Linked DNA regions of Caenorhabditis elegans. The protein of the gene in region 1 interacts with the protein of each later gene in a biochemical or structural test. Each region holds a gene or a part of one and is shown on either strand. Other genes may lie near its edges.

Evidence for each region. Proteins that work in one complex are often made in the same cells at the same time.
Region 2: the proteins of fbf-2 (region 1) and csn-6 form a complex in vitro, tested with the Caenorhabditis elegans proteins (one study listed by BioGRID).

The regions. Positions count from the first base shown.
Region 1 is NC_003280.10:6,087,834-6,095,123, reverse strand, and holds fbf-2 (Fem-3 mRNA-binding factor 2), read left to right. Parts: upstream 1-3,643; 5' UTR 3,644-3,751; coding exon 3,752-3,793; intron 3,794-3,841; coding exon 3,842-4,075; intron 4,076-4,123; coding exon 4,124-4,299; intron 4,300-4,351; coding exon 4,352-4,604; intron 4,605-4,647; coding exon 4,648-5,261; intron 5,262-5,312; coding exon 5,313-5,441; intron 5,442-5,487; coding exon 5,488-5,691; intron 5,692-5,735; coding exon 5,736-5,982; 3' UTR 5,983-6,261; downstream 6,262-7,290. Other genes in the region: tpp-2 (Tripeptidyl-peptidase 2), read left to right, coding at 1-112, 166-636, 682-919, 966-1,309, 1,358-2,244; nspg-3 (DUF19 domain-containing protein), read right to left, coding at 2,369-2,579, 2,628-2,724, 2,768-2,922, 3,042-3,304. UniProt on the Caenorhabditis elegans protein: RNA-binding protein that binds to the consensus sequence 5'-UGUGCCAUA-3' in mRNA 3'-UTRs. Involved in the control of stem cells and sex determination in the C.elegans hermaphrodite germline.
Region 2 is NC_003282.8:13,299,200-13,304,643, forward strand, and holds csn-6 (COP9 signalosome complex subunit 6), read left to right. Parts: upstream 1-1,624; 5' UTR 1,625-1,630; coding exon 1,631-1,892; intron 1,893-1,944; coding exon 1,945-2,345; intron 2,346-3,357; coding exon 3,358-3,699; intron 3,700-3,737; coding exon 3,738-3,867; intron 3,868-4,170; coding exon 4,171-4,331; 3' UTR 4,332-4,502; downstream 4,503-5,444. Other genes in the region: micu-1 (Calcium uptake protein 1 homolog, mitochondrial), read left to right, coding at 21-814; kdp-1 (KASH (Klarsicht/ANC-1/Syne Homology) Domain Protein), read left to right, coding at 989-1,426; Y67H2A.7 (Peptidase M3A/M3B catalytic domain-containing protein), read left to right, coding at 4,553-4,648, 4,695-4,784, 4,840-4,926. UniProt on the Caenorhabditis elegans protein: Component of the COP9 signalosome complex (CSN), a complex involved in various cellular and developmental processes.

The DNA.
Region 1 (7,290 bases):
GTAATCAATCCTGAGAAGGTAGCGGTTGATCAATACACTTCTAGACTTGTTGGTAAATCGGGAGTCACCGAAAGACGATTTGTCGAAGTACCGTCGTGGGCAACCAGTGCAAGTAAGTAAAAAATGAAAATTAAAGAAAATTCTATTAATCTCATCATTTTACAGAGATAACACTCCGATCTACTAACAAAGACGAAATGGATAGATTTACACTTCATACGGTCTACATTGAGGATGATAAATGTTCCCGAAACACAGAAACTCAAAAAATACAGGGTCCAATTGGAAATGAATGGAGCAAGTCGATTACTGTTCAAGGTGGAAAGACTCTTGAAGCATGTGTTGTTCGTGCTTGGTCACGTGGAAAGAATCCTGTGGATGTTGACATGACCATCGACTTCTTTGGAGTCAAAAAGCCAACTTCTATTTCACTGATTCATGGAGCAACTAACACGCCCATTCGCTTCCAAGCTGCTCCAACGAAAAGTATCGACGTTTCTCCTTCGATTTCTCTAAAATCACTTGTTGTATCACTGAAACCACAATCTGCCAAAGTAGAACCATTGGGACCACGTGATATGTTCCTTACGTCTGGACTTCAAATCAATCGTCTTCTGTTGACTTATCAGCTTAAAGGTAACCTTTTTTAACTACATAATTATTAAAATATTATTTTTTCAGTTCAAAAACCAAGTGAAGTGCAACTTCAACTTGCTGGCCTTACTCCATATTTGTATGAATCTCCTGTGGACTGTGTACTCTTCCAAATTTTCGGAGCAAACAAGTCGTTTGTGGGTGCTTCTTCTTCGTACCCGGATCGTTGGACTCAGAAGCTTGAGAAAGGAGATTATACTATTCAGGCTCAGATTAGATATCCGGATGATCAAGTTTTGCAAGGAATGAAGGAACTTCCTCTGCTGTAAGTAATTCTTTAAATTCTAACTGAAATGATTTTTGTGTTTCAGTGTTCATGTGAAACTTGGAAACAAAATTTCTGTTGACCTCGCAGCTTCTGCCAGCGATGCAACACTTGGAAAAGAGTGCAAATTTGCTGGAAAAGCCCTTCTTCCAAATCAAGAAATGACCGTCTACGCTATGAATATCGCTGATGATAAATTGCCAAAGACTATCGTACCAACAAGTGGAAGTTTCCTTGCTGGAACATTTAGTGCTCTCAAGGATTCTGATTTGAGTGATGTAGACAAATCTGAAGTTATTTACTTTCTCAGTGAGTACTCTACTCGTCCTACGAAAGGATTGTCAATGGTTACAACAAAGAAAGATACGAATCAAAATCAGGAAATGACTGGTAGATAATAATTAAAAATTGTATCTTTTATTAAATTCATATTTACAGACGCCATTCGCGATTTGGAAGTATCATGGGTGCAAAAATTGACAGACGAAAAGGCAGCGAAAGAATTTTTCGAAGCTTGTCTGCAGAAGTATCCAGATCATCTCCCACTACTTCAGAATCGAGTAAAGCAATTGATGCAAGCAAAACTTGTGGATCAAACACCGGAAAACGTGCAGAAGATTATTGAATTATGTGGTCAAATTTTGCAAATCACAAAACCGAATGAAACTCTTCAGTTCTCATCCGTCAAGCAAGAACATGATGATGATCTCCTTACTGTTGACAAATGGCTGGCACTAACCGGAGGCAGTGAGGACCAGCGAAAGGATGTGGTGAAGTTGATTTCACAATTTGAGGAACGGAAGAAAAGTATTATTCTCGCTTTGCAAGCTCTTTCATCATTGGAGCAGGATATTGAAGTTCGTAAGAGCAAGTTCGACGTTCCAGCAAGTCTTCGTTTCGGAGGAATCACTCCTCTAATTTTCGGTGGAAAGCAAGGAGAAGTGATCAATAAGAAGTCTGAAGGTTATGAAGCACTGAAATCAAAATCTGAACAAATTGATGCAACTGTCTCTGAAGAACTGAAAAAGTTGGATAGTAATTGGACTGGAAATCAGTTTTACGTCAAGCTTCTCGTTTGGTTGTCTGCTGATGATACTAAAACTGCACTGATCTCTGCCAAACATGCAGCTGCTCTTGGACAATTTGGAAGATGTGCAAAGCTTCTCAACAAAGCTGGAGATGAACTGAAGTCGTCTGCTACTGATTCGCAAGCTGTTGATACATCATTGGCTGAAGTCTGCGAAAGTCTCGAGTGGAATCATCTTGCTACTCACTTTAAAAATTCGGCTCTGATCAAAAACAGAACCTCCTACCGTCTTTTCTAATTAGTGTATCATAAGAAATTTCGCGGGTTTCTTTTTTCTGGAAGCTTTTTTGCTTCCATTTCCGTTGTGAATCAAATGATTTTCCCATTTGAATAGATAAACTTTTATTGTTTTATAAATGAGATCAAACAAAAATTTTGCAGAGATACATTAAAATTATTAAGAAGAAGAATGTTCGAGGTTGCGACGAATTGATGCATGGCATGTACTCACAGAAGTTCCACCCAGTCATGTGGGTGAGAATCTTCTGATATTGGCAGTATGATTTGACAGCACTATTTCCACATGATTTTCTCACTACTGCTCGCTCACATTGTGTGGTTCGTGATACGGAGCTCAAAATTAAAAACTAATCTCAATAAGTCTGAAACTATTAGACTCACTCGCAACTGCCAACTTCCAAAACGGAACATTCAGTATAAATCGTGTCAGAGAGATCATTCAAACTGATTGCTTGCATACATTCATAATATGCCACAACTGAAATATTTATAAAACAATGAACGAGAATGAAAAACCTCACAATCATTTCCATAATTACAATAGAATTCAAGAAACCCCGTTTGTGAGATGTAATAAGCTGCATTGCTTTCTGAACCAAAAATTGCATTGAAAGTGTTATAGTTGAGACAATCATTGATGACGTCACTATGACAGTGACGTAGAGTTGTATATGTACTGTAATTATTCGTCTTTTTTAAAAATATTTATTCTAGCATGTAAAACCGGTTCTATTGAAATTCTTCAATAATTTTACAATTTAAAAGGTGTTGCAATGTTGTAATACCTTCACATACCTACACATTCCAGTGGCATCGTACCGAATTTTCTTAAATGGATCTTCGTCTGCTGGGGGAAGGCTAGTCACATTTGAACCATATGATTGAAACATATCTATATAACATTGTTGTAGCACTTGATCTTGATCAGAACTGCAGTTATGCAGCACTCCTTCGTTTCCCGCTACGGTTTGCTTCACTAGACCTGCTAAATCAACTTCGAGTGTCTCTAGCGATTTAGTAACGATCGTAACCACAACAACGAGAATATTCCAAATCATCAAATATAGGGAAAGAAAATTTTGTGTTTCGAGCAATTTAAAGTGTTTAGTCTGAAACAGAATAGCTCGTAAAATGTCGTCACCGTCAGTCGACCGGTTTATAGCTTTTCGGGAGGTTGAAATGTGTTTATCAATTTGATATGTTACGGTCCCGGAATTTTCCAAAAATTTTTATTGTTTCTAGTAATCATTAGTAATCAAATTGATAATTATTTTAAATACACTTTTTAATTCTTGAAACATGTGATTAGAATCTCGCATTATTTGAAAATTTCAATTTGGTTACGGTAGACAATGACAAAGTACGCAAACACCAGAGTATGTGACACACTTTCGTCATTTGCGAATTCGATTTTAAATATTATTTTCATATTCCCATTCCTATTTTCTGTGAATTGATAATTTTTCTATGAGTAATCATTCTAATAAAATTATCAACTAATCGACATGGACCAATCAAAGATGCGCAGAACGAATCAGTTCAGAAAAGTAAGTTTTCAGTAACTTCTAAAGAAACAAATGGCCTAAGTTTTACAGACTTCCCAGAAGCCTCCTTCTACAGGGATTGACAGTTATCCGACTCCCGCACAATCACCAATGGCGCAGCATGAGACACCTATGTGGGACTTCAACTCTCTCAACCCGTATTTCTCAATGCTCAATATGAACGATGGGATTAATTATGCTCGCCATCAACAGAATCACATTGTTACATCGCGGCCACCAACCCCGCTAACTGATTTGATGAGCCTTCGGAGTTTTCAGAGCTTTGTAAGTTAGAGTAGGCAATTTTTGGTTGTTTTCATTACTGATTTGCAGCCCAATGTGTTCATGCCGGTCTCGCGTAGCCGAACTTCATCATTCATTCAGTCTGATACGGATTCCTCGCGTCTCGAGTCGGATGATTTTTCACAAAATGTCCGATGTTTCTCTGCGGATATTGATCGTAGCAAGAGCTATGGTTCTTCAAAACACTACCATTTGAAATATTCGAGGTTCGAATTAATTTATCACTATCCTCTAGTATTTATTCTTTTTTATTTATAGACCCGCTCTGTCGAGGAACTCTAGATCATTCACAAGATCAAACAATGTGCTGCCAACCTGGTCCTTGGATTCCAATGGTGAAATGCGTTCAAGATTGTCGCTCTCTGAAGTTTTGGATAGTGGCGATTTAATGAAGTTTGCCGTTGACAAAACTGGGTGCCAGTTCCTAGAAAAGGCAGTGAAGGGCAGCCTGACATCTTATCAGAAGTTCCAATTGTTTGAACAAGTTATTGGGAGAAAAGATGATTTCCTTGTAAGTTTTAGTTTCTGCGAGCACACATGACTTTTCTTTTCAGAAATTGAGCACGAACATCTTTGGAAATTATTTGGTACAAAGCGTTATTGGAATTTCATTGGCAACTAATGATGACGGATACACAAAGCGACAAGAAAAGTTGAAGAACTTCATCAGTTCCCAAATGACAGATATGTGCTTGGACAAATTTGCGTGTCGTGTTATCCAATCCAGTCTCCAGAACATGGATTTATCCCTTGCGTGTAAACTTGTTCAAGCTCTACCTCGTGATGCTCGTCTTATCGCAATCTGTGTTGATCAAAATGCCAATCACGTCATTCAGAAAGTCGTAGCAGTCATCCCACTGAAGAATTGGGAGTTTATTGTGGATTTCGTTGCCACCCCAGAGCACCTCCGTCAGATTTGTTCTGATAAGTATGGGTGCCGTGTTGTGCAAACTATTATCGAAAAGCTCACTGCTGATTCAATGAACGTTGATTTAACTTCCGCTGCTCAAAATCTTCGTGAACGAGCGCTCCAACGACTCATGACTTCTGTGACTAATCGGTGCCAAGAATTAGCTACGAACGAGTATGCCAATTACATAATACAGCATATTGTATCCAATGATGATCTGGCCGTTTATCGGGAATGTATCATAGAGAAATGCCTCATGTGAGTGTTATTGTTTAATATCTACTTGATTTTTAATCATCAATATTTCAGGCGCAACCTTCTTTCGTTGTCCCAGGAAAAGTTTGCTTCTCATGTTGTTGAGAAAGCATTCCTACATGCACCATTGGAACTTCTTGCCGAAATGATGGACGAGATTTTCGACGGATACATTCCACATCCGTAAAAACATTAGTTTCAGTCACATAAAAATGAAATGTTTTTTCAGGGACACGGGAAAAGATGCCCTCGATATCATGATGTTCCATCAATTCGGAAACTACGTCGTTCAATGCATGCTGACTATTTGCTGTGATGCTGTGTCTGGAAGACGGCAAACGAAAGAAGGAGGCTATGACCATGCAATCTCATTCCAGGATTGGCTGAAAAAGTTGCACTCGAGAGTTACGAAAGAAAGGCATCGCTTGTCAAGGTTATCACTATTGTCACAATAATATTTTGAAATTCGAAATTCAGGTTCTCATCCGGCAAAAAGATGATCGAGACGCTTGCCAATCTCCGTTCAACTCATCCGATTTATGAACTCCAATCTTCGGGACACGATTCATTCAAGACGGATTACTTCAGTACTGCTTCCGAGCACGATGGTCCGGAGTTGGAGAAGAATGGGATCGAGGAAGGAAGCCTGATGCTAGAGCCACGGAGCAATAAGTCTTCAGTCTCTGTCAAATTTTCTTCTTCCGGTAGTCACGGCGATGATTAAGGTGGAACTTTCTCACCATAAATCTCATCCCACCCACTTATGTTCTGTTGTTTTGTAATATTTTAAACTGGTGCAATGATTTCGTTTCGATTTTAAGATCGATGTTGTGCCTTCCCCACTCTTATCATTGCCCAGTTTTGTTTTTTCTTTTCTTTTTTGTTATTTTATTGCTTTTTATGCAGTTGTGTTATTGTTTCTTTCTGTTTACTGTTCATTGTTTTTGTTAATTTTTTATTTTCGATTTTAATGAATCCAGATAAAATTAGACAACTTGGCAAAATATCGTTCGAGTCTTTGTCATGCTTCCACCGAGAGCTTCCTGCTTCCATACAATGCCTGCTCAGAAAACAATTTTGAAAGCGAAGAGAAAAGTTGTTCTTTGCTCGGAGAACAAAAAACTGATAACCGACAAATGTTGACTTTGTAAATTTAATCAAATTAGAAACCATGAAGAATAAATATAGTTCAATTATCATATTGAAATTTATCTTACAATTGCATCGATTTCAAAATAATGGGACTCTCAGAAAATAGAAAAACAAAAATTGGATACTGGGGATGAGGAAGAACTCCGCGAACATTGGCGGTCCTTCTCTCATGTGGTCCTCGTATAGGTGGTGGCAATCCTCTCATTGTTATCCAACATCGAGAAAATGTTCTTCGGCTAGAACTCTGAAACAAAAATACTTTCAAATTAAAATTGTCAAGATAAATTCGTACTTCCTGACACAATTTGTGTTGTTGCAGCGTTGAATTCGATTCCAAACCAAGTGGCAAGACCAAGACCCAGCAATGATGATGGAATAGTTGAATTGACAGAATTCCTCGAGCATATCAGCAATGGATGTTGATGCAAGTGGATGCAATGTTCTTCTTTTGTTTCTCATCAACGTTTGCCTTATGATTGTGAAGTGACTTGATGAACTCTCTCTGCCATGCTTAAAGAACTTGTTCAGCAGCAATTTCGTTCCATGCATCAATGTCTAATCCAGCCTTCATAGAGTTTCTTCCAGGCTTCTGCTTGAATCTCAAGAAAACATAGGCGGGGCTTGCAACGAGAAAAACTGATTGAAGAGCATCATCTCCTGATAGTTTTCCTCCCTTCTTGGCACGTCTTGGATCTCCTAGTATCATATCTTCAAGCCAATTAAGAACGTTAGATGCGAAACCAGAACATCCACTGTGTATACATATTCATCACTTCGGACCATTTGTCTTTGTTATCTTTCAACCATTCGAAAACAGACTTCCGGTATTATTTATAATCTGAAACATGACTTTATATTTTAATAGAAAAACGAATTTACT
Region 2 (5,444 bases), on another chromosome or scaffold:
AATATCATTGACTTTTCCAGCCTCTCACGCGGATTTCGCTCTCGCATTCAAAATCTTCGATGTAGATGGGAACGGTGCGCTGGATAAAGAAGAATTCACAAAAGTTCAACAGCTTATTATGTCCCAAACAACTGTAGGACAGCGTCATCGAGATCATATAACGCCAAACCAGTCGTTCCGTGTCGAGACAAACTCCGCTCTCGAAACATATTTCTTTGGAAAAGACGGAAAGGGGAGCTTGTCGTCTGAAAAATTTATCGAGTTTCAAGAGCGTCTACAACACGACATTTTAAAGATGGAATTTGAACGGAGAGATGCACTGGATAACCCGGATGGACTTATCAACGAAGATAGTTTTGCTCAACTTCTCCTTCTTCATGCTCAAATTAATGAGAAGAAACAGAAGCATATGTTGAAGCGGGTTAAACGAAGATTTAAAGGAGAAAATTTGAAAGGAATCAGTTTTGGAGAGACGAAAGCATTTTTCGAGTTTTTGTATCACATTGACGATGTAGATATTGCTCTACACTTTCATAAAATGGCTGGAATGTCGATAGATGCGAAGCTACTTCAACGAGTTGCGGTCAAAGTGACTGGAATACCTCTATCGGATCACGTTGTGGATGTGGTGATTACTTTGTTCGATGACAATTTGGATGGAAAATTATCACATGAAGAAATGGTTGCTGTGATGAGGAGAAGAATGCGTAGAGGTTTAGAGCGACCAAGAGATACTGGACTTTTCCGTTTGTTTGATGCAGTTCTGGAATGTGGAAAACGAGCTTATCACGCCAGTCCTCTTCCATTTTATTAGTGGTGCCCATGGCCACTGTAAATACTTGTTTATAAATAAAGCTTTTCATTCTTTTTAACAAATTATATTTGTTATGTTCATAAAAAGTGTTCGTTTCACTTTTCTTATCTTAATTTCATTTTTTTATTCTTTATTTCTTTCTCCACATTTTAAAACACATTTTTCAGGAAAATCATGTCGTTGGCTTTGAGAAAGACTTTGGGCGTCGCTCGCTTTTCCATGAGAACCGCCAGCTTCCAGGCTGTTCCAACCAACGCCGGAAAGACCCCACCAACCCTCGAACAATTCGATCCACTGAACCCAGGAGAGTGGCAACTCGGAGCCGGAGGAAAGATCCTTCCACGTCTGCCAGAGGGAACCAAATGCGGAAACCTTGTCATGGGAAAGTACGGACTCTACGATCCAATCCTCAAGAAAAGAGTTGATACCTACGCCAATGCTCTTCTCGAAGGAAAGAAGTCCGAAGAGGCTGGACCATTCGATGTCGCTGTCAGCAAGATCGCCAAGGTCCTTTCCTACATCTGCTTTGTCATCGCCATCTACAACCTCATCTCGTTGGTCAACGGAACTCCACTTCCACCACTTAGCCACGTCAAGGCTCCAGGATCCTAAATAATTTCCACTCGATTGCATTATCTCTTTTTTGTAGGAAGTTTTATGTTCTGTAAAACTTATGTCAATGTGAATCAATAAAATTCCCGTTTAGCTTGTTTTTCCACCAGTGAATCCAGGAATATTTTCAAAATTTCCAAATCATTATCTGGCTTGAAACAAAAAAACCGATTTCGAAACCAAATTTCGAAATAATTTTCAGAAATGGCATTGAACGCACCAAGCGGGAGCTGTAGCTCGAAGGTGCTTTTGCATCCTTTGGTTATTATGCAAATGTCCGAACACTACTCCAGAACAAAGGTCCAACAGGGTCCTACTGTGAAAAAAGTGTTCGGAGCAATTCTCGGACGGCAGAATGGACGACAAGTCGAGGCGATCAATTCATTTGTTCTGAAAATGGAGACAGAAGAAATGGCTGAGCCGGTTACTTTTAGCACGGAGCATCTCCTTCAAAGAGCAGATCAATGTCAGTTTTACTCTGTTCTTGCTCATTTTAGTTTTTTTTCCCCAAATTTCAGATCTGGAAGTGTTTCCCGAGCTCCAAGTTATCGGTCTTTATTGTGCTGGGGAGGATGATAATCTGACTCCCGAAGAGAAACCTCTTCTCTCAAAACTCACCAATGCGGTTCGCAATTCAGAGAAAGCCGGACAAATCGACGCGACACTTTTCCTTAAACTCAACTCTATCACTGCTGGAACCACTCGTAAACTTCCACTTTTCGCGTTTGAAGCAGACGTGACTGATCAGGAGAAGCATAAGCCAATTGAATGGATTTTAGTGTCGGAAGAAAGTGAACGTGTCGGTGTTAATCATATCGCTAAGTTATCAACGAAACATGGAAAAGACGGGAAATCAGTTGGAAAGAAACACGCGGAGGCTCAAGATGCAGCAATGAGCATGCTTCAGAATCGGGTTGATGTGCGTTCGAGAAATTGGAGGCCAGAAAAAGACAAAATTTCATAATGAGACTTCTGAAAATGCTGTTTAGCGGTTCAAAAATTTTAAAATAATACCTAAAATTCGCTAAAATGCATATTTCGATCTTATCTCGCATTAATTCGTTGATTTAAGACACATTTTCAGTCGATTGACACCTAATTTTGGAAAAAATGTTTGAAAAAAGTACCTCCATTTACTAGTAATTGCGAGCTAAACGACTAAAATATGTAACAACAGCTGCTGCGACATGAAAAGTTTGCGAAATTTCAGAATTTAGACAGTTTTGGCTCTTATTTTTTTTTGAAATTTTGACATACTTAAAAAGTTTATTAATATTATTTTGAGAAATCTCGTTATGAAAATCAATACAGCAGCAAACTAAAGTGGAATAGTCGAAATAGTTTTACTGCTTTATTAGACTCACAATTGACTGAAAACACCGAATTTCATAATGAAACTTCTTGAAAACGTCTCAAAAAAAAGTTATGACGGCTCAAAAAATAGCCTAAATGTAGTTAAAATTTGAAATTTGACCGACTTGTCAAGCGGCTGGAAACTAATTTTTTGAAATCTCCATCTAATTTTGAGTATAAAATTTAAATATCTTGCGTTTTCAACTTCATTTATGTATTTTAAAGCCGATGGACGGCGATATTTTTAATTTTTTTTTTACGAAATCTCGCCGTCCATCGACTTTAAAGTACCCAAATCGAGTTAAAAACGCAAGATAATGACATTGTATGCTCAAAATTTGACGGTGCTTTCAAAAAAAAAAATTGTTTCCAGCCGCTGCAACATTGCAAGACGGTCAAATTTCAAATTTTAACTAATTTTAGGCCATTTTTTGAGCCGTCATAACTTTTTATTGAGAAATTTTCAAGAAGTTTCATTATGAAATTCGGTGTTTTCAGACAATTTTGAGTCTAATAAAGCAATAAAACAATTTCGACTACTCCGCCTTTAATTTTTTTTACAAAAAAATAATTTTCAGCTAATCGTTGCCTATCTCGAAAAAGTGCAAGACGGAACACTTCAACCGAATTTTGAAATTTTGAAGGAAGCTAACTTGCTTGCTCAAAAGCTCAAAACCATTGATCGATATGCTGCTGAGTTCACTGATAGTTTCGAAAAGGAAGAGAAAACAATGACCGTATTCTCTCTGATGCCAAGATTGACAACTCTTCTCGGAAATATGCAAAATGTGTGGAACAAGTTGTCAGCTCAAAGAGCCGATCTTCTCGCCGACGATGGATTCCATGGAAAATCGACAAGCCGTTGGGCTCATCCGGTTCGATTCAAATCACAACATCTCGGTCGTCCGCAGCAGGCAGATGTAAGTTAATGCATTTAGAATATTTCTAAATCCTTTAGGAATGTTTGTTCCAGGATGACGATTATTTTGATGATGAAGATTTGGAGAACGATATGAGTGGACCACGGAGAAAAATTCATGCTGCTGATTCTCCAGCTGGATCGAGAAGACGACGTGTTCCGCCAAGAGGTAGATTTGGAAATTCTGAATTATTATGAAGACGCAGAAAAATTCACCTTCTTGGGGAAATTTTTTGAAAGCGGATTTTTCAGAAGTTTTGACATCAGATACGAGGTTTAACATTTTTTATCAACTATTAAAATTTAATTAAAAAGCACAAAAAAAAAAGACAAAAAATACCTGAAGGAAAATTCTAAATTTACGATTTAGCCGATTCAATTGGTCGTGGAACGATTTTTTTTTCAAAAATAAGCATTTTTGTGCGTCCTCATTTCAAAATCTTCTGGAAAACATTAAAAATGTTGATTTCAGCAATGAACTTCCTCGGTCGGAATTCTGGTATGCAAGCCGCCACGGACGAAATGGAATTGTCAGGTCAAGAGGAAAATATGGGAAGCAACTATATTCCAGACGTTCCAAGACCATCTGCAACAGCACACAACGAGTCGGACGAGTCGAGTCAAGCTTCATAAATATCCTTTTTTTGTTAAAAATTCACTGTAAAAATGCCACTTTTTCTTATTTATTTCATTGTTTCTCAAATTTTTACACCACTTTACGTGTTTTTCATCCCCATTTATCTGAAATATAATGTCTGATCTCCGATTCTCGATATTAAAAAAAGGTTAAACGTTCCTTATATCAATAGAATCCAGTTTAGTTTAGACTATAGTGATTTTTTCTACAGCACTAAATGCTTCGAAGTGTGATATTACGGCATAGTCGAACGATAAGCCGGAATAGCTGGGTGGCTAGAGCATTTCGAAGCGAGAAGGTCGACAAAGAAACGGTTTTTTTTTTCAAGAAAATGGATTTTTTTAAATTTAAAACTTCAGGGATTATTTGGAAATAAAAACTTGAAAACCGCAGAAAGTTTCAATGAATTACCGGCGGCAGTTAAAAAATCAACTGATGCTCTTATTCAGGTATTTAGGAGAGCTCTGAAATCCAATTGAAATCCTGTAAAATTCAAATTTTCAGGAGCTTCTAACCCCATCGCAGAATCCCAGAACTTCTATTCAAATTGTCGATGATATTTCGAATGAGATTTGCAAATCGGCGGATCTTGTAAGCTTCGCTTCGAAAAAAGTTCCCAAATTCAGAAGAACCACAAAAAAAAACGCGATTTTTGAGGCACCACGTTTTCAATATCTAGTCGGAAACAATGTCTACGAAAGCAAGATCTACAGTTTGGAGTTCTACGAAAACGAGAGCTACGCTATCAGGATCTGGCACCATGCCAACTGCGGTTTTCACAGTTTTCTCGAAGAAAATCGAAACAACGATGCTCCGATATCACGCATCGCGCGTTGTTTATCGTTTTCCAAAAGTTTTTATTTCAAAAAAAGCTTTTCTGAACGATAAACAACGCGAGCCGTGTAATATCGGAGCATCGTTTTTTCGATTTTCTTCGAGAAAACTGTGAAAACCGCAGTTGGCATGGTGCCAGATCCTGAAAACGTAGATCTTCGTTTCGTAGATCTTATTTTCGTAGATCTTGTTTCCGACTAGATCTTGAAAACGTGGTGTCTCACAAAAGGAGAGCAAATGGAAAAACAGAAGAAAAAAAACTTCAAAAAATGCGA